Linked DNA regions of Macaca fascicularis. The protein of the gene in region 1 interacts with the protein of each later gene in a pairwise test. Links are inferred from orthologs where the notes say so. Each region holds a gene or a part of one and is shown in the gene's direction. Other genes may lie near its edges. The genes, in order: KRT15, WAC, FAM110A, ZC2HC1C, NOC4L, CCDC185 and ZGPAT.

Region 1 (4,394 bases):
GCCCAATGACAAAGCCCCTCCTGGTGAGGGCACTCAGGCCCAGGTGCTGGTCATGCACCCTGGCCCTTGCATGTCTGGCACCTGGGTGGGGATCCAGGAGGAGGCAGGATGGTGACTGTTGGGCCGCACGGCTTCCCTGGAAGTGAGAGTTGAGAGTGCCCCCGCCACAGGGAAATGCAGACTTAAAAAGGTAAATGTCCACAGTCTTACCGTGGTAATTGGTAGAGTCAGGATTTGAACCCGGGCCTCACAGTCTTACCATGGTAATTGATAGAGCCAGGATTTAAACCCCAGGCCTGAGGGACTCCGGAGCCCTGTCCACTTCACCATGCTGCAACCTGGGCTAGGAATCCTCTTCCTGAGTTTCTGTAAGCCCTGGGGCCAGGTCCGGAGGGCCGGGCCACACCTCCAAGAGGCACTGCCCACAGGTGTCAGTTGTCCCTGGAAAGGTGTCCCTGAGCCGGTGGCAGAGAAAAGGGCTCTCCTGAGTGTTCAACTCCCCATCTTTGTGAAGTGATGCCTTGGTCTTCAAGATCTCCAGTGTCTTCCAGCCTGCCCGCCAATCTCCCATCTCTTCCCTTCCACAGCACTCAGGCACATAGAGCCTTCTGCAGCGGCCCCTCCCCAGCCAGCACTTGACAGGACAGATGGGGGCTAATCTGGCCCTGCTAAGCAGCAACATGCTGCTTGGAACTTGCCCCAGCCTTATCAGCGGAGGTCTGCCCCAACACATCCCAGAAGCGAGCAAAGGTTCAGCGCTATGCAGTTGGCAGGTGTCGGGATCATCAGTCATCCCCTTGTCAGCCCCGAGCCTGCTGGGCTTTTGTGAGGGTGCCAGGGACATAGGCTGGAGGCTGGCAGGAGGGGAGTAGAGGTGGGAGGAGGGGAGTCCATCTGCAGCACCAGGGAAGGGATGGATGCTGGCTCCTCTGGTCACCTCAGCTGGAACACTACTCAAGGTCCCTGGCTCCTGTCCTCCAACTGGGGGTCCTGCATTCCCATCCCCAGAGGCCTCCACTCCCCCTGAGCCCTGCAGTCTCTCACTCACTCACAGGGTTTTGAGTTGGATAACACAGTGTAATGATCAAGAAGTGGACTCCCAAACCGAGAACACGGAGCTGTCCCCTTGGGCAGAGGCTCAGGGCTCGGGGCAGTGGAGAAGTCCAGCTGAGGGCACAGTGGCTTGAGCTGCTCTCAGTTCAGCTAGAGGCTTTGGTAGCTGTGCTGTGATGAGAGTTCACTCCCTGCTGCTCTCTTCTGGCATGGAGAGATGAACCTGTAATCCAAGTGTTAAAACCGTGCCCCGGGGGAAAACACTATTAATTCTGAATCATCTCTTTTGTTGCATTAAAAAAAATAGAAGAGAAAAACTTCACACGAGCCACTCAAGGTGTGCAGGCAGCTGTGTTTGTCAGGAAGGCAGAAGGAGTTGGCTTTGCTTTGGGGGAGGAGACGAGGTCCCACAGCACCCTCTGAGGGGAATATAAGGAGCTCCAGAGTGCAGCCTGGCCTGGTACCTCCTGCCAGCGTCTCTTGGGTTTGCTGAGAACTCACGGGCTCCAGCTACCTGACGATGACCACCACATTTCTGCAAACTTCTTCCTCCACTTTTGGGGGTGGCTCTACCCGAGGGGGTTCCCTTCTGGCTGGGGGAGGTGGCTTTGGTGGGGGTAGTCTCTATGGGGGAGGTGGAAGCCGAAATATCTCAGCTTCTTCTGCTAGGTTTGTGTCTTCAGGGTCAGGAGGGGGCTACGGGGGTGGCATGAGGGTCTGTGGCTTTGGTGGAGGGGCTGGCAGTGTTTTTGGTGGAGGCTTTGGAGGGGGCATTGGTGGGGGTTTTGGTGGTGGCTTTGGTGGTGGCGATGGTGGTCTCCTCTCTGGCAATGAGAAAATTACCATGCAGAACCTCAATGACCGCCTGGCCTCCTACCTGGACAAGGTACGTGCCCTAGAAGAGGCCAATGCTGACCTGGAGGTGAAGATCCGTGACTGGTACCAGAAGCAGGCCCCGACCAGCCCGGAACGCGACTACAGCCAATACTTCAAGACCACTGAAGAGCTCCGGGACAAGGTGAGTCCTCAGATGTCAAAGAGAGGGGAGCAGGTGGCTGGTACCCTGTATGTGGCTCTAATGTCGGTGTTACTGCTGACTCGAGGAAATCCTTTCCTGCCCAGGCAACGACTGTCTGGTGTGTAACCTCAGCAAATTTGGAATGCACCTGCTGTCCAGGTGCAGAGGCTAGTGCACATCTTCTCAACTTGGTGGTGCTGGGGGAGGAAGGGAGGGGTCTTGGGAGTCTGGTTAGGACCAACAGGGGCACAGGTGGGGGCAATTATAAAGAGCCAGGGGCAGTAGCTCACACCTGTAATCCCAGTGCTTTGGGGGGCCAAGGTGATAGGACTGCTTGTGTTCAGGAGTTAGAGGCTGCAGTGAGCTAATGACTGTGCCACTGTACTCCGGCCTAGGTGACAGAGTGAGAACCTGTATCTAATGGAAAAAACCAATAATTAAAAAAAAGAGCAGCTCGCCTTCCCTACCTCATGCACCCTGCAGGCTTCTGCATAAAGTATTCCTTCACCTCTTTGGCAAGAATGGGATTGGAGTGTGGCCTCATGAGTCCCAGATGCTAGAACCTCTTGTCTTTTCCTATAAAGAGACCTTTTGTGCCAAAAGTACTGTTGGGTCTTAGGAGACCTGGGAACTCATTACACATTCTGTCACCCACTCACTCACCTTTTTACTCCCTGAGACTGGGTTCTTCATTTGTAAAAGGCCTTCTTTAGCTGCCCTCCAGGTTGCTACTGGCTGGAATGTTCTGTAGATCCATGGCTGTGTCCAAGATGTGCAGGAGGCAGTGACCATGAGCTGTCCACAGGGGGGCTGGTGGAGTGTCTCTGAGAGGGCTATTGTCAGAGCTGACCACACCCCACTCCACCACTCTTCTGGGCAACCAATTCCCACAGGCAGTACTGCCTCCTTGGTCTTTCGTGCCCTGGAGACAAGGAGGGCAACTCCTCAGGTGTCTCAAGGAGGCTGGTATGGGACAAAACCAGAAGTGGACACTCAAGATGCGGCTGGACTCTGCCCACCCCAGAGGCCCTACAGATTTTTGTTGGTGGTGTCAGAGGGGTGATTGTCAGTGAGGGGCTGGCCTTGGGTGCAGAGTGGAGAGCAGCAAGGGAGAGAGAGGAGTCCTCTAGGCACCAACTCTGTCTCCTGCAGATCACGGCCACCACCATCGACAACTCCCGGGTCATCCTGGAGATCGACAACGCCAGGCTGGCTGCAGACGACTTCAGGCTCAAGTGCGCTCCCCCCTCCCTCTCCTCTTCCTGCGTTGCCCACTTTACTTGGCCTTCTCCTGGGTCTGACTCAGGCAGCCAAGACCCCTCCCACTTCCTTCTTTGGCCTCCCTCTCTCTCCTCAGGTATGAGAACGAGCTGGCCCTGCGCCAGAGCGTCGAGGCTGACATCAACGGCCTGCGCCGAGTCCTGGATGAGCTGACCCTGGCCAAGACTGACCTGGAGATGCAGATCGAGGGCCTGAATGAGGAGCTGGCCTACCTGAAGAAGAACCACGAGGAGGTGAGAGCTGGCCCCCATCACCCTTGAACCTGAGAGAGGTGGGGAACTTCTTCCCAAAACGCACTTAAATTGCCCAGAGGGAAAGACAGCGGCTCCAGGAAGCCCTCCCAGATTTTCGCGAGATTAAGTCGGTGGGAGGCAGAGTGGGGCTGCTGGTACTTCCTCATCGTTGGCCTGGGGCTTAGTGGTTCAGAAACACCCCCAAACCCCAAAACCAGGTGTCCTCATGGAGAGGAAGGGGCACTGACCTGTGGTAGCCCAGACCCACAGCCAGGCCAGGTGGCCAGTACGAATGACTGACTTCCTCATTGGCTTTGTGAGCTCACATCAGGGCCCTACAGTCTCGGGGTCCTCCCTTTGGTAGGACCTAGAGCAGCAGAGAGCTCCTCAGAGTTGAGGGGTCCATGTGACCGAACCTCTTCATGTGCAATAGGGAACATCGGTTGGGGTGCGTTAGGGGCAGAGCCAGGATTGGCATGTGGGACCCCAGACTCAGGTTTCTCTTCTGCTCTCCGTCTCTAAATGGGCCCCTCCCACCCTGCAGGAGATGAAGGAGTTCGGCAGCCAGCTGGCCGGCCAGGTCAATGTGGAGATGGACGCAGCACCGGGCGTGGACCTGACCCGCGTGCTGGCAGAGATGAGGGAGCAGTACGAGGCCATGGCGGAGAAGAACCGCCGGGATGCTGAGGCCTGGTTCTTCAGCAAGGTGGGCCTGATCTCCTGCCCTGCCCTGCCTGCCCCAGCTCCCTGAGTCTCCGAGGAGGCCCCGGGACTCACTTCTCTTGTGCATGATCTGCAGACTGAGGAGC
Region 2 (3,811 bases), on another chromosome or scaffold:
AAAGGGTCACTTTGTCAGAAAGCTGATAAACAGCAGGAATGCCTTGTCTGGAATGGAAGTATAATGGTGCAAAGACTCTTGCAACCCTCTGGCTAGCCTCATGAGCAGGAGACTGCGTGGGATACCTGGGCCTAAATGTAGAATAAGAAAGAAGAAATAAGGATGGTGAGGAGGCCTTCCATGTGAGAATAGGTTCAGGCCTAGCTTCCTGTTCCAGCCACATAAAGGAGAGTGGGCCACACTGGGTGTGCTTACCTCTGAACACACAGCTCACTTAGTCAGTGTGGCCCAGTGAGAAGGTCAGATTCTGATTTATTCCGATAAGTGTTCTCTGGGTAATATGGGGGTGGGGGGTTTAGAGTGATACAAAGATTGTTACCACATATATTACAAAGGACTTAGTTTTTTTGTTTTGTTTTGTTTTTCTTTAAAATTAATTGCTTCCCTCTTTTACAGCCCAGCCATCTAATCAGTCTCCAATGTCTTTAACGTCTGATGCGTCATCCCCAAGATCATATGTTTCTCCAAGAATAAGCACACCTCAAACTAACACAGTCCCTATCAAACCCTTGATCAGTACTCCTCCTGTTTCATCACAGCCAAAGGTATGTCACCTTTGAGGGATATTTGGGAAAGAAACTACTTTTGGAAAATCAATAACATTTTAGAATCTGTTACAGAAAAAGCTCTATGAGAATGAGGTGTAGTGGTGGAATGGATGACAGGTATGATAGTAGATGCAGCCTAGAATTTCTCAGTTCACTGAGGGATAGAGGGGGGCTTTGAATCTGTGCTGCTTTAATACACCTTCTGAGTCTGTTCCCTAATGGTTTTGGGATTTGTCACATGGAGAGTGAGATAAAGAGGGTATACTGTGAGTCTTAATATTTGTAGAATTTTCAGACTCCAAAAGACATGAGTGAACATGTTTTCCAGCAACTTTGCCATATTTGTATTTCAAAAATGAGGCAGTTTTTGTGCTAAGAACTTAATGTATGTTCAACTTTCACATCATGAGCATCACTTGCTTCATTTAATAGATAAGAAAATCAGACTCTCAGTTAAGTCTAGTTTTTGTGGTAGAGTCAGAATTTGAAACCTAGGTGTTTGTGAATACAGGGACCCATTTTACTAAGCTTATATTGCCTGTATTTGTCCCAGCAGAATCTCACATGGTTGGCTCCATAGGTGCAGTTAGAAAATTTCTGGGCTAAATGGTAAATATAGGGGGAATTTCTTTTGAGTAGTTTTGAAACAGTGGGCTGTTTCAAACTTTTTAATGCCAAACAATTATTTGTAAGATCTTAAGCAGCAGCCCAAAAATAAAAATGCATTGAAATACAACTTGAAAGAGGTGGTTGGTCAGCTTTTAAGTCTTCCCGTTTGTTCATCCCTTCCCTACCTTGGCCATTGATCAATGCATGTTTTAGGGCCAATTTAGATTGATTTTTAAAATTCCAAGTTACAGTTGTTAGTTTGTCATGCAGTTCCTTATCATTCACCAGTATTTTAAGGAGGAAAGAATTAAAATGTGAGTTTCAGCAAAAGATAGGTTATTTTTGGAGCTTAGAACTTTTCTTCAGGGTGATATTTTAAGAGTATAGTAAATAGTGGTTAAAAGTGAAATAAGTGGCAGTATTGGTTTTATAGTCACTTGTAAACTGAGCATTTCAACTCCTTTAAGCAGGCTGGGCGCAGTGGCGCACACCCATAATTACAGCACTTAGGAGGCCAGGGCAGGAGGATTCAGTTAGGCCCTGGGCAATACAGCAAGACCCCATCTCTACAAAAATAATTTGAAAATTTACTGGGGGAGGCCGAGGCAGGCAGATCACTTGAGGCCAGGAGTTTGAAAAAAGCCTGGCCAACAGGCAAAACCCAGTCTCTACTAAAATTACCAAAATTAGTGGCACAGACCTATAATCCCAGCTACTCAGGAGGCTGAGGCATGAGAATCACTTGACCTGGAAAGTGGAGGTGCAGTTGAGCCAAGATCACGCCACTGCACTCCAGCCTGGGCGAGAGAGCAAAACTCTGTCTTTAAAAAACAACAACAAAAAAAACTTATTTGGGCATGGCAATTTGTACTACTCAGGAGGCTGGGGTGGGGGAATCACCTGAGCCTGGGAATTCAAGGTTGGAGTGAGCCAAGATCACGTCACTCTGCACTCCAGACTAGGCAACCAGACTAAGACCCTGTCTCGAAGAAAAAAAAAAAAAGTCCTTTAAACAGATAGCTATCAGTTTTTTGTGTTCCGAAAACTTCTTCAAGTTGTTTTTAAAATAATTGAACATTTGAGCTTTTAGTGCTTACTAAAATGTTCTTTATAAGACTTGACTAGAATTGATAGGTAATATTCAGAAGTTAAGCAGGACGTTCCAGATTTGTTAGGGAGAATTATTAATCATATCCCCTCACCCCACCAAAAGAAAAACAGCAGTGAGGTGTGGCTTATCACAAAGGACTCCATCTGCCTTTGTGCCTCAATTTAGAGCTTATATTTTAAACTGCTTATTTTCTCTCTGTGGCTTCTGAATATAATATGTATCCTGATTGGCAATCATGGACTTCAGTCTACCTCTGTAGAGTAACATCTCTTTGAAAAACACTCATGATGAACTTTATATGGGCCATAACTCATTTTCTGATAGCCGAATCACATTGTTTCTCCATGTCATTAAAATCTAAGCATCCATATGTGTATGATGTGGTAGCATACATATTTACTTTTATTGATATAAAAGTAACAAATCAGAAGAGATAATAATGTATTGGAAAGAAAACTGAGTTGTAAAGGAGGAGAGCTAGTTTCTTACACTGGTTTGATAGGGAAGTAATTTTATGACCTTGGGCCATTTTTACAAAGAAATGAGATACCGAAGTTTTAGAACTTGACAGTCTTCTTTAAAACACCATATTTTACATGTTCTAAGACGATTACCTAGATTTTGGGGGGAGAGATGTGGATTAGATTTGGAGACCATCTCACCAGATTTTGACATTTCAGGTTAGTACTCCAGTAGTTAAGCAAGGACCAGTGTCACAGTCAGCCACACAGCAGCCTGTAACTGCTGACAAGCAGCAAGGTCATGAACCTGTCTCTCCTCGAAGTCTTCAGCGCTCAAGGTACGTCGATATTGTATATTGAGACCACATTGTTTTGTTTAATGATAGTATACTGGTATATTGCATTGTTTGAAGATGTATCTGTAAAATATAACAACTTTAAACTCCATGAATACTCTAAAGTAGGCTTATATGTTGTAAAATTTACAAAGACAAACCTGTATACAAGAGGTAGGTTATTGTCTCTAGTAGTAAAGCCCGGGTTATTTTGAAGAAAGTGGCTCTTTAAAATTTTACACAGTGGAATATGATGGGGTAAAGATTTGTGATACTTGTACCAGAAAGGCACATGATTTTACAATATTTGTTGGAATTACATTGCTTTGTAACCTCCTCATAGCAGTTTTGGTTTGAGTATATTGATGAAAGCCAAAGTCTCCTATCTAAAACTTGGGCCGATGTTTCCCGTGTATGTCAGGCTTTCCCAGTAGCTTAACTGTGACCCTATACAGATGACTTTTAGATAGTTCTATACTGCTGTATTGTGTTAGCACTTTTCTGTGTTCATTAACAACACAACTTTAAATGACATTTGTTGAATGAATGGTTTTCATTTGATTGATTTTCCTATTTTTTATTTCATGCTATGAGGTAGCAAAATAATTGAACTGTTGTTTTTATTGTTGTTTTCTAAACAAGCATTTCAGAACTTATACCTCCAAATGAGAGTTGTTCCCTTCAAAC
Region 3 (4,492 bases), on another chromosome or scaffold:
ATTGCTTCAACCTAGGATACAGTGAGCTGTGGTTGCACCACTGCACTCCACCTTGGGCAACAGATCTAGACCCTGTCTCTAAAAAACATAAATAAATCAATATTTAATACTTAGCATTTCCCCCTATCTTTAAATCTCTTTTAGCTACTTCACTTTTATTTTTATTTTTTTGAGATGATCTGTTGCCCAGGTTGGGGTGCAGTGGCATGATCTCAGCTCACTGCATCCCCCACATCCCAGGTTCAATCTATTCTCCTGCCTCATCCTCCCGAGTAGCTGGGATTACAGGCTTGTAGCACCACGCCTGGGTAATTTTTGTATTTTTAGTAGAGACAAGGTTTCACTATGTTGGCCAGGCTGGTCTTCAACTCCTGACTTCAGGTGATTTGATCGCCTCAGCCTCCCAAAGTGCTGGGATTACAGGCGTGAGCCACTGCTCCTGGTGGCTGCTTCATTTTTAATGGCTGCATAATATTCCTCATCAGAAAGTGGGAATAATTAGGCTAGTCGGCGTGGCTCATGCCTGTAATTCTAGAACTTTGGAAGGCTGAGTTGGTAGGATTACTTGAGTCCAGGAGTTTAAGACCAGTCTGGGCAACATGGCAAAACCCTGTCTCTACAAAAAATACAGAAAATACCGGGTGTGGTAGTGCACACCTGTAGTCCCAGCTACTCGGGAGGCTGAGGTGGGAAGATTGCTTGACCCCAGGAGACTGAGGCTGCTGTAAGCTGAGATCCCACCACTGCACTCCAGCCAGGGTGACTCCATCTCAAAAAAAAAAAAAAAGGAAAGAAAAAAAGAAAGTGTTAATAATTAAAAGTACTTTTAGAGGGTTATGTCATAAGCCTTGACAAGAGTTGTTCTGTAAAGCTACCTGGCATGTAAAACGCTCAATTAAGTTAGTTAGCTCTTCCACAGGATGGAATTATATAACCAACCCCTTTCAAGAGGCATTTAAGTTGTTTCCATTATTTTGTCATGATGAATAAGGCTGAGCAATATTAATCTTTGCTCATATCTTTGGTCATTTCCTTTGTAAATTTCAGGACTGCTGGGTGTGCACATTTTAAAATTAACTCACTCATCATCATGCAGTTAGGAGAACAGAGAAAGGAAGGGGCTGTGCGGGGTCACATAGGGAGTTAGCGTCAAAGTCAGGACTAGGAATCAACCAGGGTCCTCTAACTGGAGCTCTTCCAGCTGGTGCCCTAGAGGAAGTCCCAGCTGCAAGCCGGAGGGAGGAGGAAGGGAAAGAACCAGGCGCCGGGTCTGAAGCGGCGGCAGGAAGAAGGTGGGGCCGGTTGGGAGGTGGGGGCGGAGCTGCTGAGCCGCGCCGCTCCTTCAGGCTGCAGAAGCTAAGCGGTCGCCTGGCAACCCCGGCGGCGCGCCGTTCGAACGGAAGCGAGGAACCAATCAGGAAGTCCGGGTCGAACCATTCTGGAGTGAAGGGGGGCGGGGTGCTCACTTCCCCTTTCTCGGCGCTCGAGGGACTTTCCCTGCGGTGGGGGCCTTCGACAGTCAGGGCCACCCGCTCAGCTCGACTGCGGAGGGCAGTTCCGAAGGGGACCCCAAAGGTGCCCACGCGGGGCTGGGGCCTCCTGGGCGCCGTTGGGAGCGGTCACTACCAGCCCGGGTCCGAGCTGTCAGCCTCTCCGAAGACTGCGCGGAAGGAGCCGGGACACGCCTAGGACGAGCTCCAGGTGAGGGCGCGGGTGGTTCCGGGTGCGACCCGGGGTCTGGGGGACTCTGTTCCCCGAGCGCCTGCTGTCTGCTTTCTCCCCGCGTCGTACCTGCGTGTCATTTCACAGATGAGGACTCTGAGGTTCAGAGAGGCAAGTGTCCTGGCTCGGCGAGCTCTGGCAGAGAATCCAGTTCAAGGCTTTCCGCCCTACCTCGCAGCCCCTAGTCTAGTCGTATCTAGACTTGCCTTGAGAGGTACAGACGGGCAACTAGTAGTCATTTTCCCAGCATTTTATCGGCAGGGACACGGCCTATGGACCCCTGGCTGGATCACCTATCCCTGCGCCCCACACTGTCCTCGGGATACCCCTTTTGGGCGTCTTTCTTCTCCGCAGTCCGGGGTTGGACTCGGCTCATTTGGCGCCCTTCTGCCTACTGGGCTCTGAACTCCAGAGCTCCCCCTCTCAGAGGACCACTCTTTAGCCATCGGATGGCACTGACATTTCTGGGCTGGATATAGGGGCAGCAGATTCTCCAGCCCCCAGAGTCGCTGCTGGCCTCTTGGGAATCTTCCCCGGTCTGGGGAAGGGAATAAAGCCAGTCCCTGAACCAAAGCCACTAGTCACCAGAGACTTTGGAATTGGGGGTGGGGCCGGGATTCCCTCAGGAGGAGCATCTGATCTAGGCCAGATCCTGCTCTGTCTCCTGGGGACACCCCTTGCCCCCTAGGTTGCTATTGTCAGTCTCCTTTTGTAGGTGGGGAAACTGAGGTTCTAAGAAGTTAAGCCTCTTGTCGAAGTCCCAGTCAGACAATGCAGTGGTTATTAGCTCCTGGTCCCTCTGGCTTCAATCTTAGAATCCTTGACACCCAGAGTCATGCATTTTGAGAGTCTTGAATCTCTTCATAAGGGAGTTACATATCTCCTCTCCTCTGGAGCCTCCCCCTGGCTTTGGGGACAGGATCTCCGAACACTCAGAAAACAAGCCTTTCCTTTATTCTTTCAACAAATATTATTGACTTCATAAGCCTTGCTCTTGTTCTTGCATGTTTTGTTTTTCTCAGTAGCATTTACTCCACCTTATGTCCTATATATTTTACTTATTAGCAAATTTATCACCTTCTCCCACTGTGATGCAAGGCAGGGGCTGAGGCAATTGAGGTCCTCACCACCAGTGCAAAATTTAGGGATGCCCTGAACCTCAGTAATCAAGATAACTGAAACTAATGTTCATGGACCATTTGTATGTTCTGCAGGCAGGAGGTTAACTCACACAGCCTTCATGAAGCACAGTCCTCCCATCTCATTCTCTCTCTCTCTCTCTATATATATGTGTGTGTGTATGTGTGTGTGTGTATATATATATGCATATTTATAAATCGTGAAACCACTGCCCTGTCCCTGACTTGCTCTGTGACATTGAGTAAGTTTCTTCAGTCTCTGGGCTGAGCTAAGAAGTCATGATGGTGCACTCAGGCCTGGGCAGAGGGCGGTCTAGGATAGGAAGCAGACTTGGTTGTGGATTACAAATACATCCCCCAGACTCAGCTGTCCCACTTCTAAGCAAAATGATGTAGATGCAGTGATGCTGCAGTGTGGTTTGTAGGCAGAAATGAGACACACTCTAAGTGGCCACCAGTAGGGGATGATGGGAAATTCTACTGTGCAGCTGGGAAAAAGGACATGCTCTTTATGTACTGATGTGGCACCAAGAACAAAACATACTATTGAGCAAAAAGAACAAGATGAAAATGGTACACATAGCATCATGACGCCATATGTGTAACAATGGAGACAGAATATATATTCATACTTGCCTGCATCTGCCTAAAGTCTCTCAGGAAGGATAAGCAACTGTCTGGTCACGATGGTGCCTGCAGGGAGGAGAAATGGGGACAGGGTGGGAGGAGGTTGTTGTTGTTTTTTTTTTTTAAACTTCACTATCTTTACCGTTTTTGAATTTTGAGTTGTGTGCATGTATCATCTATTTTAAAAATTTAAAAATTAAGGCCAGGTGCGGTGGCTCACGCCTGTAATCTCAGCACTTTGGGAGGCCAAGGCGGGTGGATCACTTGAGGTCAGGAGTTTCAGACCAGCCTGGCCAACGTGGTGAAACCTCATCTTTACTAAAAAATACAAAAATTAGCCGGATGTGGTGGCACGAGCCTATAATCCCAGCTACTTGGGAGGCTGAGGCAGGAGAATCACTTAAACCTGGGAGGTGGAGGTTGCGGTGATCCCGGTGCACTCCAGCCTGGGTGACAACAGGAAAACTCTGTCTAAAAAATAAAATTACATATATATATGTGTGTGTGTGTGTATGTATGTATGTGTGTGTGTATATATATATATATATATATATATATATATGCATGTTTATAAATCATGAGACCACTGCCCTGTCCCTGACTTGCTCTGTGACACTAAGTTTCTTCAGTCTCTGGGCTGAGCTAAGAAGTCATGATGGTGTACTCAGGCCTGGGCAGAGGGCGGTCTAGGATAGGAAGTGGGCTTGGCTATGGATCTGCCTCCCACTCACCTTTCTAATCCTGCGTGCCAGGTCCTTCCCCAAGACCTTGCATGTGTTATCTCTCTCATTCCGTCCCCACTGCAAAATCCTTTGTCCCCATTTTGCAACCTCAAGTGCAAACCTAGAAGATCAACTTGGTAGAGGTGAGCATATCAGTGGGCCTAGATGTCCACATCCACACCCATTCCACAGCCTACTCTCTTCTCCCTTCCTAAAGTTAGTGCAAGGCCACCCTGAGCAAGGCTGACTCCTGGGCAGGCCAGGGCACCAGCGTCTGGGAGG
Region 4 (4,474 bases), on another chromosome or scaffold:
AATTAGCCAGGTGTGGTGGCAGACGCCTGTAATCTCAGCTACTCGGGAGGCTGAGGCAGGAGAATCACTTGAACCCAGGAGGCGGAGGTGGCAGTGAGCTGAGATTGCGCCACTGCACTCCAGCCTGGGCAACAGGGTGAGATTCTGTCTCAAAAAACAAACAAATTTTAAAAAACCCTCAAAACCAACAAAACAGAAAACAAAAACAAAACGCTGGGGTAAAGTGATGGAGTCAATTCCCGGAGGGTACTGAAAAGCACTAATTCAAGAGAACTCATGGAAAGTGGCCCTTCTTTCTCATAGAGGAGAGGGAAGGAGAGAGGGAGAGAGACAGACAGAGACAGAGACAGACAGAGACAGAGAAGAAAGGGAGAGAAGGAAGAGGAGAGAGAGAGAGAAAGAAAGCCGGTACATCCTGCTGAGGGAAGCTGCGGGAGTTGATAATTGGGACCCTGAGTAGAGTGGGAAACATCTGGAGCTGCATATATGTAGAGGTGGTGCAGGCAACAAGGGATGAAAACGAGGAATTAAAAAAAAAAGAAAAGAAAAGAAAAAGAAAAGAAAAAAAAAGAAGGACTGACCTGGAGGGTCCACCAAGGAATTTCTTTGTAACAGGTAACAGCTGTAATATGACATGTTGAAGTATTAACACTGATGACTGCTTGTCTACATTATTTTCCAAGTGCATGAATTGAGTAGTTACAGGGAAAAAGCGAACTGCCTGTTCCCAACGTCCTACACAGATGAACTGAAGCGAAGAAAAAAAAATAAACTTTCTTTTGATGTCAACAAGTTACAGAGTATCATTTACTGTTGAAACCAGGTTATACTGATTATTTTCGATCTGGTAGTTCTTTATTATCATTACACTTGGCTGAGTCATTCCTACGCCCTAAGTACAGACGGCTAGAGTTACCACGTGAGAGTAAAACATTATAATATCAAAATAATTAGATTGGCCACAAAAATTACCCCGGAAAGATACTGCGTAGCAAAAACGTTGGCAGCAAGTTCCAAAGACTTGGCGACGACAAGCAGGGAGCGCGCACGTGCAGCCATACCTGGGGCCCGCCCAGCGCAGCCAAGCGCGCCGAGAAAGGTCAGCAGCAGCCCCGCTCCCACCAGGCAGGCGGTCGCCTGCACCCTGCGGCGGAAGCACGCGGAGGCACAGCCAGGGCCTCCGCCCTTTGCCAGTGAAGGGCACACCCCAAGGTCTGGGAGCATCGTTCTCAGGAAAGTACAAGTTCTTCTTTGATGGAGCCCCAGAAAAGCCTCTCCCGCCCTTCCTCGGCTCCCCAAGGGCAGGGCTGTACCCGGCTGCAGAGTTGGCCGGACACTGACTGGGTCAAGTGACGGTCGGGCTGACCGCACCCCCCACCCCCGGTCGCCCCGGGTCGCTGGTGCACTGCGCCTGCGCACGCCTCCCCAAGGAGTTCGCAGCGAGGGGCGGAGCTTGGCCCGCCAGTAACTCGGTCTCCAGGCACCGGGAATAACAGAAGCTAGCTGAGAGCGCCTGCGCGGCCGTCGGTTGAGGGGGAGGTCGGGTCTGGGAAACTAGGCCCTGGGGTTTCCCCTGAGCAGGAGCGGTGCCCGAGGGCCTCAGGTACGCAGAAGGGCGGGGAGACAGAGGGTCAGCACCTCCTAAGGGCCCGAAGGGCAGGAGAGAGAGAGGACTTGTCCCCAGAGGCGGAGTCCGTAGTGGGGGCGCCCCAGTTGACCCTTCGGGACAGAACGTGACTTCAGCCTTAAGGATCTAAAACCGGCTGCAGCCAGGTCAGGTGGCCCTCAACGCTCAGGTTACAAAACTTTTACCGTCTGCGCCACGGGGACTCCTGGGATGAGGGTTTGACAGCCAGGCACCTGCTCCAGGCCCTAGCAGCCTCTGTGCTCTTTTGAATCAAGCACGGTTCCAGCAGGAGGGAAGCCCTGAGAGCTCTTTGTGCCAGTCACTACCTCTGGGCCACAGCTTGCTCACCTGTAAAATGGTGAGGATGGACTCGGACGGAACCCTTCAGTTTACAGGTGAAGAAACGGGGGCCAGCAAGGGAGAAGTCGCTTGTCCTGTTACAGGCCTAAAACCTGACTTTCAATCCGATGCTCTTTCCACTTACTGTAGAGTATACTGTGCGTGGCAGAGGCTGGTGCTGGAGGAGAGGAGAGCTAGGTGGCAGGAACACCTGTAGCACCTCCGTTTCTCTACCCTCAGGGCCTAACACAGTGTCTTGTGCATAGTAATCACTCACCAAATGGTTTTTGAAGGGAAGCTTTGGCAGATCCAGCACCACTGTCCCCAGAAAAGTTTAAGGAAATGTGGGCAGGGCAAATGTTGAAATAGTTTGCTTTAGCAGACGAGAGTGAACCTCAGACAAACTCTTCGCATGTATCTGGTTTAAATCTCCCGTAGGCATCAGTCCAGGCCCTGAATGGCTGGTCTCCAGCGGTTGGCATCACATCTGCCTGTGGGCGTTATGCTTCCACATAATACAACAGAAGCTCCAGGGCCCCACTCAGCCAAGCAAGACTCTTACGAACAAAGTGACTCTTCCCAGCAGTCCTTGAAGGGGCACCTGAGGAACAATTTCCAGAAGCAGCTTTTGAGCAACAAAGAGTTGACTCTGGATAAAGTCCACACTCACCCCAAATGGAACACAAAAGCCCGGAGCTACTCCTATCCCCACTGTACTGGAATCAGCCACCAAGATGCAGGAAGTGATTTCCAGGGCCAAGGAAATGGTTTGTTTTACTCATCAGGCCCTCAATCCTGGTATCCCAAAGCCAATAACCAGGACTTTATCCCCTTTACAAAGAAACGAGTTGGAGTGGACCGGGCGTACCCACTGAAACCCGTGGTCCACAGGAAGTCGTGCAGTACAGGTGAGTCTGGCACTGATGGGGACCAGAATGTCTACCCAAGGCCCCCTGAACTGAGAGAGTTTTCATCCAGGAACTTTGATGTGAGGAACCAGGTCAACTTTTCTGTGGTTGATCCTGTTCTTGCTGCCATGCAGGCGGAGAAGGCCTTGGCAAACTTGGACAGGATGGAGTGGGTGCAGATCCAAAGACTAGAAGCTGCAGGGGAGAGCTTAGAGGAGGAAATCCGAAGAAAGCAGATTCTCCTGAGAGGAAAGCTGAAGAAGACAGAGGAGGAACTCAGAAGGATCCAGACGCAAAAGGAACAGGCCAAGGAAAATGAAAACAGAGAGCTACAGAAAATTATATTCCCCAGGAGCAGAGTTAAAGGTAATAACAGCAACACCACGCACAAAGCTGTCTTCTCCCCAGAATTTGATTTTGAGGAAGAATTTAGTAGAGACAGGAGAGAGGATGAAACTTGGGAACGGTCTCAACAAAATTCGAGTCCATTCCAGCTCTCTGATTATAGAATCCAGAGACTCAAAAGGGAAAGGCTGGTAGCAAGCAATAACAAAATTCGAGACCGAGTCTCAGAGCCGTCGATGGAGAAGTTCTCCCCGCCTTCAGAAACACCAGGCGGTGCTTTGCAGGGATCTGCCAGAAATTCCAGCCTGTCCATGGCACCAGACTCCTCAGGTTCCAGCGGCTCCACTGAAGAGCCACAGCTGGGTGAGTGCAGCCACTGTGGGCGAAAATTCCTCTTGTTCAGGCTGGAGAGACACTCCAACATCTGCAGCAGGATGCAGGGTTCCAAGAGGAAAGTGTTTGACTCCTCCAGGGCCCGGGCTAAGGGCACAGAACTAGAGCAATACTTGAACTGGAAGGGGCCAGCTTCAGCCAAGGTAACAAGAGCCTTATGGATGTGACTTGGTGTGGGGATCATTGTAGGGGTCTGTTTTGTCATCATCAGTTTTCTTTAGGGAAAATTCATGTGTCATGTAGGAAGAATTGACGTCTAGAATTAACATTTCTTGATTACTACTGTATGCCAGCATTGTGATGGGAGCTTTGCATGTGATCCTCGCATTTATCTCTCATTTTATCAGTTCAAAAATCAAGACTTGGACAGGCTAAGTAACTTGCTTGAGGTCACAAACAGCTTTAAGTGGCAGAGTCAGCATATAAATCTTGGTTAGAATGACTAAAAAATCTAGACTAAGAATTTGTGTCCTTTGGATTATAAAAGTAATAAAAGTTTACTGTAGAAAATTCAAAAGACACAAAAAATCGAAAGAAAAAAAATGCAGGCTTTTGTCACCTGGAGAGAACGCCTCACTCTTTGCAATGTATTCTGCCACCTCCCAAGACTAGAATCTGTGAGCATTCCTTTAACTATGTAGTCTGTTAAGATTAGCTCAGTGTTGGCCGGCGCGGTGGCTCACGCCTGTAATCCCAGCACTTTGGGAGGCTGAGGCGGGTGGATCACGAGGTCAGGAGATCGAGACCATCCTGGCTAACACTGTGAAACCCCATGTCTACTAAAAATGCAAAAAAATTAGCCGGGCATGGTGGCGGGCGCCTGTAGTCCCAGCTACACGGGAGACTGAGGCAGGAGAATGGC
Region 5 (4,086 bases), on another chromosome or scaffold:
CATCTGGGGTGAGGACATCACAGCCACCCTGCACTGCCCCTTCCCAGGAGCTGGCCCTCAGTGCGCTCATGAAGTTCGTGCAGCTGGAAGGAGCACATCCCCTGGAGAAGCCCAAGTGGGAAGGCAACTACCTGTTTCCCCGAGAGCTCTTCAAGGTGAGGGCCTGGCTGGGGGGTCCCAGAGAGCCCGGCTGGGGAGTCCCAGAGGGCCCGGCTGGGGGGTCCCAGAGGGCCTGGCTGCCTGGCCAGAGCCCAGGGTGGCCCTGTAGTCGGGGCGGGGCCTGCTGAGCTGAGCCTGGCTGTTGGCTGGGACCCTCCTGCGGCTCCTGTGCGTGTGGGGTGCCTCTCATGGCCCACCCAACCAGGAGGAGGCTGAGTAGGGGCCTTGGTGGGGTGGGGCTGCCTGCCTGGGCCGTGCTGGCCTGTGCTGGGCCGGGCAGGGCTGCTCACTGGTCCTTGCCCCCAGTTGGTGGTGGGAGGCCTGCTTTCTCCTGAGGAGGACCAGAGCCTGCTCCTGTCCCAGTTCCGGGAGTACCTGGACTACGACGACACTCGCTACCACAGCATGCAGGCGGCCGTGGAGGTCGTGGCCCGGGTCACTGGCCAGCACCCCGAGGTGAGCGACGGGGCCTGTCAGCAGCATCATGCTGGTGCCTCCCGGGGAGGCAGGGGCTGGGGGGTGGCATCCAGGCACTCAGGTCCGGCTCCGCAGGTGCCCCCGGCCTTCTGGAACAACACCTTCACGCTGCTGTCTGCCGTGAGCCTGCCCCGCCAGGAGCCCACCGTCTCCAGCTTCTATGTGAAGCGCACGGGTGAGGGTACTGAGGGCCAGGGGCGGACAGGGCTGGGCCTTGGTCTGCCTCCCCCGCGGGTCAGGTGACCTTTGTTCTCGCTTTCCCTGCAGAGCTGTGGGACACCTGGAAGGTTGCTCACCTGAAGGTGAGTGGCCTCCGGAGAGCCGGGCACCCTCCTGGGCTTGCAGGGTGCATGTGGGGTGTGTGCGAGACCCCGTGCAGGCTGCCGCCTTCCTCACGAGGAAACTCCCAGGGTACAGGTGGCAGCTCGCATGGCCACTGGGTCACTCGAAGTGTGGGAGGTGACAAGGCCTCTGAACTCGGGGCCCTCCTTTGGGTCGGAGGCCACCACCGCCTCTCGGAATCTGAAGGCTCTGGTGCCATCCGTGGGCCCCGCGGGCTGTGTTGGGCGCAGCCCCCCTCTTGGCCCTAGTCTTGCCAAGGATTCTTTCCTGGCTGTTCTGAGACCCCAGCCTTGAGGGCGAGGTGCTCCTGACTTGAATGGTGACAGTTAGAGGGAGGGCGGGGTCAGAAGAGTGGAGAGCGGGCTTGCGTTGGCTCGGGGCTGGGCTTCAGTGTGCCCTGGCAGCTGCTTGGGCTCTGGGTCTGGGGTCAGGAGGGCAGAAGTACAGTCTGGACCCTGTCGCAGGAACACAGGAAGGCTTTCCAGACTATGTGGCTCAGCTTCCTCAAGCACAAGGTAGGGGCCAGGCTGGTTGGTGAGGGCGGGGGCAGCACCCGGGTGTCCCCAAGGGTGGAGGCCTCACCCTGACCTGCCGGCCCTCGCCCAGCTGCCCCTCAGCCTCTACAAGAAGGTGCTGCTGATCACGCACGACGCCATCCTGCCGCAGCTGGCCCAGCCCACGCTCATGATCGACTTCCTCACCCGCGCCTGCGACCTCGGTGAGTGCGGCCGCCTGGTTCACACCACACCCCAACCCCCCTCGGTGAGTGCGGCCGCCTCACTCATGCCGGGAGCAGCGCCTCCCATACCCCCAACCCCCCAACCTCCACCCCGCAGCCCCTCTTCCCCAACCCTGCAGCCTCCACCCCCCACTCCCCTGCCCTGCATGTGGTCTCCAGCTTTGTGTCCGTGGGGGCTGTGGGAGGGGACAGCAGGGGCAGGGCCACACTCCACAGCTTAGGCTCAGCGTGGGCAGGGAGTGGGGTGGGAGCGAGGTCACTGCAGCTCCAGCGTGTGTCTGTCTGTCTGCAGGTGGGGCCCTCAGCCTCTTGGCCTTGAACGGGCTGTTCATCTTGATTCACAAACACAACCTGTGAGTGTCTCCCCGTCCGTCCAGCCCTGCTTACCTGTGCCCTTCCCACCCTGCCCCACGGGGTCCCCGCTCTTCTCACAGGCCGTGGCATTGGAGCCCCTGGGCGGGAGGAAGGGGTGCCGAGTTAGACCCTGGCCTTGGAGGCCTCAGTTCCCGGGCCCTGCTCCATCCACTGCTCCTTCCCCGCCGGCCCACAGGGAGTACCCCGACTTCTACCGGAAGCTCTACGGCCTCCTGGACCCTTCCGTTTTTCACGTCAAGTACCGGGCCCGTTTCTTCCACCTGGCTGATCTCTTCCTGTCTTCTTCGTGAGTACCAGAGCACCTGGCTCTGCTCTCCTCTGTGCTTCTGCAGACTGGCGCCAGGGGAGGGTGATGGGGGCTAGCGGTCCAGGCCCTGTCTCACAACCACTGCCCTGCCCAGCCACCTCCCTGCCTACCTGGTGGCCGCCTTCGCCAAGCGCCTGGCCCGCCTGGCCCTGACGGCTCCCCCCGAGGCCCTGCTCATGGTCCTGCCTTTCATCTGTAACCTGCTGCGCCGGCACCCCGCCTGCCGGGTCCTCGTGCACCGCCCACACGGCCCTGGTGAGTCGCGGGGCTCTCGCAGGCTGGGCCGGACCTGTGGCAGGGGTGCCTGGTGCCCTGGAGAGGTGGACAGCAAATGAGGGTCCGCATCTCATTCCTAGAGCTGGACGCCGACCCCTACGACCCCGGAGAGAAGGACCCAGCCCAGAGCCGGGCCTTGGAGAGCTCCCTGTGGGAGCTTCAGGTGAGGGTGCTGCTGCCACGCTCTGGGGCCTCCCGAGCCATCCTTTGGCCCCTCAGAAAGCCCAGCTCCCCATGCCACCTCCCGCATAGCCTCGTGCCGTGTCCCCCACTGGCCACCAGGGTTTGTGGGTGCTTGGTGCTTGGCCTTCTTCCGTGGCTCTGCCCCCACCCCGCCCACTCTGGTTAGGAGCACAGGAAGGTGGTGGCTGGGGGCATAGGGCGGGGGCCTGGGGTAGCTGCCCCTTGACAGCCCTGCTACCCCAGGCCCTCCAGCACCACTACCATCCTGAGGTGTCCAAAGCCGCCAGCGTCATCAACCAGGCCCTGTCTGTACCCGAGGTCAGCATCGCGCCGCTGCTGGAGCTCACGGCCTATGAGGTATGGGACTGGGGCCGGGGTGCGAGGGCCTGAGCCCCAGGGCGCTGAGCCAAGCCTGAGAGCCACCGTCCTTTGTCCTTTGCAGATCTTTGAGCGGGACCTGAAGAAGAAGGGGTCCGAGCCAGTGCCGCTGGAGTTTATCCCAGCCCAGGGCCTGCTGGGACGGCCGGGCGAACTTTGTGCCCAGCACTTCACACTCAGCTGACACCGGCCCACCTGTGAATAAATGATTTTGCAGGAGAGCGGCTCGGAGTGTGGACAGGGGCGGCTGGATGCCTCTGCCAGGCCGAGGGCCTCACATCCACCTGAGCCCACCAGGCACATGGCAAAGCGAGGCCCCTGCCTCCTCCGCAGCCTGGGACGGCATGGTGGGGAACCTGAGGCATGGTCTTTCCCAGGGCCTCTGGCCCACCAGTGTCATGGGTCACCCAGCCTCCCTCACTCCCCGGGCCCCAGTGACCTCACTGTTGCAGAGCTCGGGGCCTCTGCTGAGGTTACACTCCAGACACCTGGGAGGGAGCTGGGGGGTTCTCTCTGCCTGGGTCAGTTGTGGCGGGAGGTGGGTGTGGTGGTATGTACAGGTATGATGTGTGTGGGAGTCGGGGGGGTGTTGGTGTGAGTAGGGTGTCCGTGTGACTGGGGGGACTTTGGTTGTGAGTAGAGGGTGTTTGTGTGAATGGGGGGGTTGGTGTCAGTGGGGGATGACGTGAGTCGGGGGTTCCTGTGTCAACGTCCCACCCTGGCTGTGTCCTGCTGGTCCCGCCTTTGTTCTGGGAGTCCCGTGAGGCCCTGGGTGGATGCTGCGTAGTTACAGGCAGTGCCTGGGCCCCTCTGAGTTTCCCCCCATTGGGAGGCCCTGGTCCAGCTGCAG
Region 6 (3,995 bases), on another chromosome or scaffold:
AATTTTTAAAATGTTTATATAGAGGCAGAGTCTCTCTATGTTGCCCAGACTGGTCTAAGTCCTGGGCTCAAGGGATCCTCCTGCCTTGCCTTCCCCACATGCTAGGATTACAGGCATGAACCACCACCCAACCCAATTCTTAAAACTTTTAACTGACGCTTAGCATGGCACCAAAATGATATTTATTGAATGTATTCTGGTGCCAACCTCTGGATGCATCATTTCGTCTGATCCTCACAACAGTCCTGCAATGCTGGTAAGATGAGCCCGGCTTCCCACTCCATCTTGCTGGAACTGGAGGTCATGGAAACTTAAGGGATTTGCCCAAGAGCCCATGAGTGAAGAGTGGTAGAGGAGATTCAAATTCTTTTTCTCTACCAGATCCAGTGTTTTTCCCATTAGCCAAGGGTGCCTCAACAAGGAACAAGAATCCCACAAAATTCGAGGAAAAGGGGGAAAAATGTGATTTCAACATGGTGTTCACTGATGCTATTTCAGAAATGTGCACGCAGCATTCATATTTTGACAAAAGCAGTAATTACCATATTAGAAAATAGAGTCGTTGTCTTCCTTTTCTAAAAATCTTTAAAAGTTAACATTAAAGCATACTTTGGGCTTGCTAATTTAAAACGGCAAATGGATGGTGTCGCATATTAATGTGCGTCCACAGCCGCTCTATTTGACCACGTTGCAGAGGTACACACGTGCAGGACGGTGGTTCTGCAGCTGAGGGTATCTCCTCCCTGAAACTGCACCTTGGCCCTTCTCCCCACCCTTTTTATTCTGAGGGTGACGCCTTCACCCGGGCTCTCTTAAAATCCTGCTGTTTGTGTGCAAATGCGAGTTCAAATTTCTCCCTGAAACACTGGTGGGGGGACACTATGCACCCTCATCTTTAAATATCATCCTGATTTCCCACATATTCCCTCCTCCAACCTGCAACCCCTTTCTCCCCCACCCGACCCCCACCACCCCCATCTCCAGCCTCCTGTCCTTCCCATTCCAGGTGCTCCGAGTGCTAGCAAAACTGGGGTGGGCGGCGCCGGGCAAGGGCTGAAGACTGCGGGGACCCAGCTGCCAGGCGCATTGTGAAGTGGCCGGAGCGTCACAGGCGACCCCGACTTCGGGACCGGGGGGCGGGGCGGGTGTCTGCAGCGTCCTCTGGAGGTCTCAGACCCCTTGCGCAGACTCTGCGCGTGCCCAGAGGGAGGGATGGCAGGCTTCAGCCACTTCTCCCAGCCGCCCTACCGGGACCTCTGGGAACCCCCGCGGCCCGGCGGAGAGCGAGAGTCCACGCAGCGGCTGGGCGGGCAGAGGTCCGGAGCCAACTCCCCCGCGTGCTCCCGGGCCGAGACTCCGGGTGCGGAGAGCGAAGCTGGGGCGTGCTGGCTGCACCCGCACTGTTCGTTCACGCCGCGGCCTCGCAGGCGCGGGTGCTCAGACTCACCGCGGGGCAGCCGAAGCCTGAGCGATGTGGTCCGCAGGCCCCTGGACCGCTCCAGGAAGCACGGGCTCCGCAGCAGGCGCCTAGAAGATGCCTGGGGAGAGACAGGAACCAAGCCCCGCCCAGCTTGGCAGCCGCAGACCCAGCTGCCACCCCAGCGGCCGCAGCCCTGCCCGCATTACCCACTGGCCCAGGGAGACTCGCCCCCGCCTTACTCCGGAGGAGCTGGCACTCCCCTGAGTGGCACATTCAGGGTAGAAAAGGCACAGGGTGGAGACCAGTGGGCAGTGCCGCTCGGCAGACATCTAGGTCGCTGGTCCGCTTCCTCAGTTCCCTCGGAGCGGTCTTCTGTGCCCTCCCAAAAGTTCAGGAGGCACTCAGCCTGCGGGTGCGCCCAGAAGAGAGACAGCAGCGACCAGGTTGAGTCATTAGCAAGCCGGGACTCCCAGCCCTCGGCCTCTAGCAAAGAGATGCGGAGCCCCCACACCCAGGTCCTGAAGAGCAAGCTGGAAGAGGCAGTGGTGTCCTCCCAGGACCAGCAGATTGTGGCCCTCGTGTTGACCCGTCTCAAGAAGGCCCAGAGGATGCGGGAGCTGCAGCAGCAGGCGGCTGAGGCCTGGGAGGAGTTGAAGCGCTCGGATCAGAAGGTCCAGATGACCTTGGAGCGGGAACGCCGGCTGCTGCTGCAGCAGAGCCAGGAGCAGTGGCAGGAGAAGGAGCAGCGCAAGACCCTCCAAAGCCCTGAGCAGCGCTGCCGGCGGCGGGACAGCCAGAGGAAGAACGTGACCCCGGGGGAAAGCCGGTGGAAGGAACAAACTGAGGACCAGGAGAGCCCGCGCCAGGAGAAGCTGGAGAAGGCGCGCGCCCAGGCAGAGCACCGAAAGCAGTGCCAGGTGCGGCGCCTGCGGGAGCAGGAGAAGATGCAACGGAACCTCCGGGAGCAACACACCCTGCAGCTACAGAGGAGGCTGGTGGAGGCCTGTCGCAAGAGGCATCTGCATGCCGTGGAGGGACAGAAGAAGGTCCAGGACACCAACCTGAGCTCTCTCATCAATTACCAGGCCCGGAAGGTCCTCATGGACTGCCAGGCCAAGGCTGAGGAGCTCCTTAGGCAGCTGTCCCTGGAACAAAGTTTCCAGCGGTCCCAAGAGATACACCAGGGCCTGATGAAGGAGCGGCACCGCGAGCTGAGGGAGAAGGCCCAGAAGGAGGAAGAGCAGTTGCAGCAGGCCAGGTGGCGTGCAGGGGAGTCAGAGGAGCAGAGGAAGATGCGCAAAAGGATTCTGGTGGAGCTGGCAGATGAGAAGATCCGACAGGCCAGGAATCACGTGCACAAGACCACTAGGGACAAGGTGCAGCACCTCCGGGAGCTCAACCACCTGAGGGAGAAAAACCACCACATCCTGAAACTGAAAGCCGAGAAGGAGGAAAAGTGCCACATTGAAGGCATCAAGGAGGCCATTAAGAAAAAGGAGCAGAGGGTGCGGCACATTACCCAAGGGAAAGACCCAAACTTCCAGGAGTTCCAGAAGCTCCCTCAGGCCTCCAGGAGAGAAGAGAGAGCGCCTCCCAACAGCTCCCTTGATCAGATAGTACTAGAGGCCCAGCTCCGTGCCTGTCAGCAGAACAGGGATTACTGAGAACCAAGGACGCCTGGCTTACAGCGCCAGCCAGAAGGAGATGTGGCAATGTGATTCCTTTTGTAATCTGATTATAATTGAACATTGATTTTAAAAAAGCATATAAAATAGCTGCAATTTCCTCTCATGAACTGGTTTATTGATTCACTTGGATAGTTTAGAGGGTCGGGGAGAAAATTTTGAGAATTTCTATGAAAATGACTTGGCTTTGTGAATTTCGATTTGAATACAAAATATTCATTTAGCTCTCAAGTAATCTGAGAAACACACAACAGGCACATTTTGGAGACACCAGAGAAAAATCTATAGTTAGGGATACAGTTCTGTGACATGTCTTAAGTCTTTTCCTGTCCCAGAACTTATGAAAGGGTGAAGTATAAAGTACGCATCATAAGAAATCTCCAAGACAAAAAGAAATTTTAAAAAGAGTGAAGTGGGAGGATTCCTGTGAACGAGTAGATTTGGGAACCCTGCATACTATATCCTCTCTTGGGAGTTCATAATGCACTTTAAAATTTTAAAGACATGCAGTAAAGAAACTTAATGTTTAATGTCCCTCACCTCTTTTTTTTCTCAGATAATTTCATGGAATTGATGTTCTGTGAAACATTTTTGAAAACGGCACTCTATAGTTCTTATCTGATTGTGAACTTCTTTGGCCTTCCCTCCATGTATTGATAGGAAGTATTTATAATTCCATCAGCACTATTTCTTGACTGTTCCACCACAGCCACACCATCTGATATAGTTTGGCTGTGTCCCCACCCAAATCTCATCTTGAGCTATATAGCTCCCATAATTCCCACGTGTTGTAGGAGAGGCCTTGGGAGATAATTGAATCATGGGGGTGGGGGTTTCCCCCATACTGTTCTCATGGTAGTGAATAAGTCTAAAGAGATCTGATTGTTTCA
Region 7 (4,472 bases), on another chromosome or scaffold:
TACTGTTTAGACCTCTTACTGTTTAGACCCACGGTGGTGGTGATTTTGGATAGACTCATTCCCTTGTAGTTCTTGTTAAACCGGGTTTTTGACTGTTCCAGGAAGGTCTGAGGAGAGAGGGAGAGGCAGACACATCAAGTAGGGGCTACACTGGCTTCCCAAATATCCTTCCTCAGGCCTGTTCCTTAAGAGAGAAAAACAGAAACAAAGCAACACTCTGCTCTTCAGGAAGCTGGTGGTGACAATCCTGTCGTCTCAGGTGAAATGTGGATTCCATCTGGGTAGTGAACATGCAGCTGACAGCACAAAACCGAAGCGGGGGCCACCCGGCCGTGGGAAAGGTGCGGGCAAGGGAGTGGGCACTCACCGTCTTCCCAGCATTGTCCAGGCCCAGGATCAGGATGCAGTACTCGTCCTTCTGAAACATGTACTTGTACAAGCCCGACAGCAGCGTGTACATCCTGCCCTGGGCGCCCCAACATGTGTCAGTGTGCAGCCGGAACGCAGCTCCCCGCCCCCGGGCTTCTCCACGGTGGTCAGGGGCGCCCCACGTCCAGCTGGCCGCTCAGGACCAGAGCCTGGGGGCCATTCCCGACTCTCCCTCCTCCACCGCACCCCTGCAACTCCTCCCAGGCCGGCCGCCACTCCGTCCTTCCGCTCACAGCAATGACTGCGACCTTTCCGAACCCGCAGCGGCTCCGGTCCCTCCCCTGCTCGCGGGACCACCCAGCCGGGTGTTCGCGGTGAGCTCCGCTGCGCTCCCGCCCTCCCCCGAGGTTTCGCTCCCACGCTTCACGCGCGCGGAACGGGGAACACACTCGCGGCAGCCCCGCCTGGGCCCCCGCGCCCCACCCGGGAGCAGCGAGCCGCCGGCGCGCTCCCCAGGAGCTCCCCAGGGACGCCCCATCAACCCATTTCTTAAAACGGGGACGGCCAGCGGGAAGCGGACTACAGGGCGGGTGCGCAGCGGCCCGGCTGCTCCCGGAGGCGGCGCGCGGCGGGCAGGGAACGACTCCCGCGGAGAAAGAACCCGCGTCGGGGACCCCGGCTACGGCCGCCCCATGCCGCGGCCGCCAGGTTGGAGGCTCGCCGACAAGCAGCCAAAGCTGGTTCCTGTCACACCTGCGTCCCACCTCCAGCTCTGGGCCGCCCCTCGGGCCTCGCGCCCCACCGCATAGCCTGCGGCCTACCTGCGACCGCCGCGACCTCGGAGCCGCCGCTGCTGACCCCCGCTGACCTCCGCTGACCCCGCGCTAACCCCGCGCGGCGCCTGACGGGACGAGAGCCGGCCTCAGGGAAGGAGCTGAAACGCGTCCCGGCGGCCTCCGCGCTCCGCTTCCCGGCTGCCCCCGCGCGCCAGGCACTTCCGGAAGTGGCGGCGCTCGGGAGGAAGTGCTGGTCGGCGGCGGGGACGAAAGGGGGGTGCCGGGCCGCTCTAGCCGGTGAGGCCGGCGGGCTCTCTATGGCGGCGGCTGGGAAACCGCGCGGGGGAGGTTCCCTGCCCGGGGAGAGGGGACCCCGGTTTGCGGGGACGCGGCCTTGGCCAGACTGCAGAGACGCCGGGCGCGGGGGCGGGGCCGGCCTGGAAGGCAGCGGGCGCGGCGGGTGGGCTCGGCGGAGGGCCGGGCGGCGGGGCGCCCCGCGGGGAGGGGGTCTCCGGAGTGACGCGGGACCCGGCTAGCGGCGAGCCCAGGGCGGCTCGGAAGGGAAGCGCGGAGCCTGAGCGGGGGTACCCGGTCTGCGACCTCTGCGCTGGGAGCTGTGCCTCTGAGCCGGTGTCTCCCCGAGGGACAGGGGACGTGCCCGTGCCCTCCCGCAGTCTGTGGGGCCGGTCCCGAGACGCGAGGCTCACCTGGCTTCTCTTCTCGCAGCCCTGGTCCAGCGCCTCCCTCTCTCAGCATGGACGAGGAGAGCCTGGAGTCGGCCTTGCAGACCTACCGTGCGCAGCTGCAGCAGGTGGAGCTGGCCCTGGGCGCCGGCCTGGATTCGTCTGAGCAGGCGGACCTGCGCCAGCTGCAGGGGGACCTGAAGGAGCTCATCGAGCTCACCGAGGCCAGCCTGGTGTCTGTCAGGAAGAGCAAGTTGCTGGCCGCGCTGGACGAAGAGCGCACGGGCCGGGAAGATGCTGAGTACCAGGCTTTCCGGGAGGCCATCACTGAGGCGGTGGAGGCGCCAGCAGCAGCCCCTGAGTCCGGATCAGAGACCGTTCCTAAAGCAGAGGCGGGGCCCGAATCTGCAGCAGGTGGGCAGGAGGAGGAAGAGGGAGAGGACGAGGAAGAGCTGAGTGGGACAAAGGTGAGCGCACCCTACTACAGCTCATGGGGCACTCTGGAGTATCACAACGCCATGGTGGTGGGAGCGGAAGAGGCTGAGGATGGTTCGGCGGGTGTCCGTGTGCTCTACCTGTACCCCACTCACAAGTCTCTGAAGCCGTGCCCGTTCTTCCTGGAGGGAAAGTGCCGCTTCAAGGAGAACTGCAGGTAAAACCCTTTGTTATCAGGATGCCAACCTTGGGGCGTAAGGGGCACGCACACAGGGTCGGGTCAGGGTGGCCCTCCCTTTGCTTTGCAGTTTTGTCTCAGCTTCTTGGGGCAGGCATGCTTTGTGACAGCAGTGTCTGTGTTCAGGCGTCTGCGTCTTTGTTCCGGGGTAAATCAAGAAGCATAGAAGGTGGCCGGGTGCGGTGGCCCACGCCTGTAATCCCAGCACTTTGGGAAGTCAAGGCGGGCAGATCACCTGAGGTCAGGAGTTCAGGACCACGCTGGTCAACATGGTGAAACCCTATCTCTGTTAAAAACACAAAATTCAACTGGTCGTGGTGGCGCGCACCTGTGGTCCTAGCTACTCAGGAGGCTGAGGCAGGAGAATTGGTTGAACCCAGGAGGCCAAGGTTGCAGTGAGCGGAAATGGAGCCACTGTACTCCAGCCTGAGCAACAGTGCAAGGCTTATGTGGAAGAGAATAGGTCTCCAACCTATCGTCATTGTTTTTTTGTTTGGTTGTTGTTTTAATTTTTTTTGAGACAGGGTCTTACTTTGTCAACCAGGCTGGAGTGCAGTGGCGCAGTCCTGGCTTACTGCAGCCTGGACCTCCTGGGCTCAACTGATCTCCTGCCTTAGCGCCCCTAGTAATTGGGGTACAGACTCACACTACCACATCCAGCTAATTTTTGTATTATTATTACTTGTTTATTTATTTATTTTTTGAGATGGAGTCTTGCTCTGTCGCCCAGGCTGGAGTGCAGTGGCGCAATCTCGGCTCACTGCAAGCTCTGCCTCCCGGGTTCAAACAATTCTCCTGCCTCAGCCTCCCTAGTAGCTGGGATTACAGGCACCTGCCACCATACCTGGCTAATTTTTTTGTACTTTTTAGTAGAGACGGGGTTTCACCGTGTTAGCCTGGATGGTCTCAATCTCCTGACCTTGTGATCCGCCCACCTCAGCCTCCCAAAGTGCTGGGATTACAGGCGTGAGACACAGTGCCTGCTTTTTTTTTTTTTTTTTTTGGAGATAGAGTTTCACTCTTGTTGCCCAGGCTGGAGTGCAGTGGCATAGTCTCAGCTTACTGCAACCTCCTTCTCCTGGGTTGAAGTAATTCTCTGCCTCAGTGTCCAGAGTAGCTGGAATTACAGGTGCCCACCACCACGCCCGGCTAATTTTTTGTATTTTTAGTAGAGACAGAGATTCACCATCTTGGCCAGGCTGATCTTGAACTCCTGACCTCGTGATCTACCCGCCTCAGTCTCCCAAAATGCTGGGATTACAGACGTGAGCCATCACGCCTGGCTAATTTTTGTAGTTTTAGTAGAGGTAGGGTTTTGTCATGTTGTCCAGGCTGGTTTCACGCTCCTGAGCTCAAGTGATCCACCTGCCCTGGCCTCCCAAAGTGCTGAGATCACAGGCATGAGCCACTGCGCCCGGCCCTGTTGTTAGTTTTATTCTCTAGAGTTCAACTTGAAAACTTTACTTTTTTTTTTTTTTTTTTTTGAGACAGAGTCTCGCTCTGTCACCCAGGCTGGAGTGCAATGGCTTGATCTCAGCTCACTGCAAGCTCCGCCTCCCGGGTTCACGCCATTCTCCTGCCTCAGCCTCCCGAGTAGCTGGGACTACAGGCGCCCGCCACCTCGCCCAGCTAATTTTTTTTATATTTTTAGTAGAGACGGGGTTTCACTGTGTTAGCCGGGATGGTCTCGATCTCCTGACCTGGTGATCCGCCTGTCTCGGCCTCCCAAAGTGCTGGGATTACAGGCATGAGCCACCACGCCCGGCCTGAAAATTTTACTCTTACGGAGATTTTCAAACATACCCCAAGTTAGAGAGCTTAACATAATCACTGCCCACGGTCCATAATCCACGGTCCATCATCCAGTGTCCTCATTGATTAACATTTTGCTAGTCTTGTTTTGTCTGTTCTCCCTGTTCTACTTTTTTCTTTCCTGGACTATTTTAAAGCAAATTCCAGAAGTTACTGGGT

Evidence for each region.
Region 2: the proteins of KRT15 (region 1) and WAC interact in a two-hybrid assay, tested with the Homo sapiens proteins (4 studies listed by BioGRID and IntAct). The two-hybrid records come from large-scale screens. The link is inferred for Macaca fascicularis from reciprocal best matches to the Homo sapiens genes KRT15 and WAC.
Region 3: the proteins of KRT15 (region 1) and FAM110A interact in a two-hybrid assay, tested with the Homo sapiens proteins (2 studies listed by BioGRID and IntAct). The two-hybrid records come from large-scale screens. The link is inferred for Macaca fascicularis from reciprocal best matches to the Homo sapiens genes KRT15 and FAM110A.
Region 4: the proteins of KRT15 (region 1) and ZC2HC1C interact in binary tests that used the Homo sapiens proteins (3 or more experiments, as listed by UniProt). The two-hybrid records come from large-scale screens. The link is inferred for Macaca fascicularis from reciprocal best matches to the Homo sapiens genes KRT15 and ZC2HC1C.
Region 5: the proteins of KRT15 (region 1) and NOC4L interact in binary tests that used the Homo sapiens proteins (3 or more experiments, as listed by UniProt). The two-hybrid records come from large-scale screens. The link is inferred for Macaca fascicularis from reciprocal best matches to the Homo sapiens genes KRT15 and NOC4L.
Region 6: the proteins of KRT15 (region 1) and CCDC185 interact in a two-hybrid assay, tested with the Homo sapiens proteins (2 studies listed by BioGRID and IntAct). The two-hybrid records come from large-scale screens. The link is inferred for Macaca fascicularis from reciprocal best matches to the Homo sapiens genes KRT15 and CCDC185.
Region 7: the proteins of KRT15 (region 1) and ZGPAT interact in binary tests that used the Homo sapiens proteins (3 or more experiments, as listed by UniProt). The two-hybrid records come from large-scale screens. The link is inferred for Macaca fascicularis from reciprocal best matches to the Homo sapiens genes KRT15 and ZGPAT.

The regions. Positions count from the first base shown.
Region 1 is NC_088390.1:62,557,212-62,561,605, reverse strand, and holds the start of KRT15 (keratin, type I cytoskeletal 15), read left to right. Parts: upstream 1-1,510; 5' UTR 1,511-1,573; coding exon 1,574-2,071; intron 2,072-3,223; coding exon 3,224-3,306; intron 3,307-3,428; coding exon 3,429-3,585; intron 3,586-4,129; coding exon 4,130-4,291; intron 4,292-4,384; coding exon 4,385-4,394.
Region 2 is NC_088383.1:29,309,901-29,313,711, forward strand, and holds part of WAC (WW domain-containing adapter protein with coiled-coil), read left to right. Parts: exon of another isoform or gene 1-299; intron 300-456; coding exon 457-605; intron 606-3,008; coding exon 3,009-3,127; intron 3,128-3,766; coding exon of another isoform or gene 3,767-3,811.
Region 3 is NC_088384.1:86,552,147-86,556,638, reverse strand, and holds the start of FAM110A (protein FAM110A), read left to right. Parts: upstream 1-1,464; 5' UTR 1,465-1,701; intron 1,702-4,492.
Region 4 is NC_088381.1:143,017,929-143,022,402, forward strand, and holds the start of ZC2HC1C (zinc finger C2HC domain-containing protein 1C), read left to right. Parts: upstream 1-1,494; 5' UTR 1,495-2,423; coding exon 2,424-3,755; intron 3,756-4,474. Other genes in the region: ACYP1 (acylphosphatase-1), read right to left, coding at 582-748, 973-1,224.
Region 5 is NC_088385.1:139,270,967-139,275,052, forward strand, and holds the end of NOC4L (nucleolar complex protein 4 homolog), read left to right. Parts: intron 1-47; coding exon 48-155; intron 156-465; coding exon 466-615; intron 616-711; coding exon 712-811; intron 812-903; coding exon 904-938; intron 939-1,442; coding exon 1,443-1,493; intron 1,494-1,584; coding exon 1,585-1,740; intron 1,741-2,009; coding exon of another isoform or gene 2,010-2,070; intron 2,071-2,151; coding exon 2,152-2,378; intron 2,379-2,493; coding exon 2,494-2,654; intron 2,655-2,755; coding exon 2,756-2,838; intron 2,839-3,101; coding exon 3,102-3,215; intron 3,216-3,300; coding exon 3,301-3,420; 3' UTR 3,421-3,455; downstream 3,456-4,086.
Region 6 is NC_088375.1:81,410,274-81,414,268, forward strand, and holds CCDC185 (coiled-coil domain-containing protein 185), read left to right. Parts: upstream 1-1,185; 5' UTR 1,186-1,212; coding exon 1,213-3,084; 3' UTR 3,085-3,211; downstream 3,212-3,995.
Region 7 is NC_088384.1:119,823,812-119,828,283, forward strand, and holds the start of ZGPAT (zinc finger CCCH-type with G patch domain-containing protein), read left to right. Parts: upstream 1-1,362; 5' UTR 1,363-1,442; intron 1,443-1,871; 5' UTR 1,872-1,899; coding exon 1,900-2,480; intron 2,481-4,472. Other genes in the region: ARFRP1 (ADP-ribosylation factor-related protein 1), read right to left, coding at 20-107, 368-466, 1,123-1,176. UniProt on the Homo sapiens protein: Transcription repressor that specifically binds the 5'-GGAG[GA]A[GA]A-3' consensus sequence. Represses transcription by recruiting the chromatin multiprotein complex NuRD to target promoters.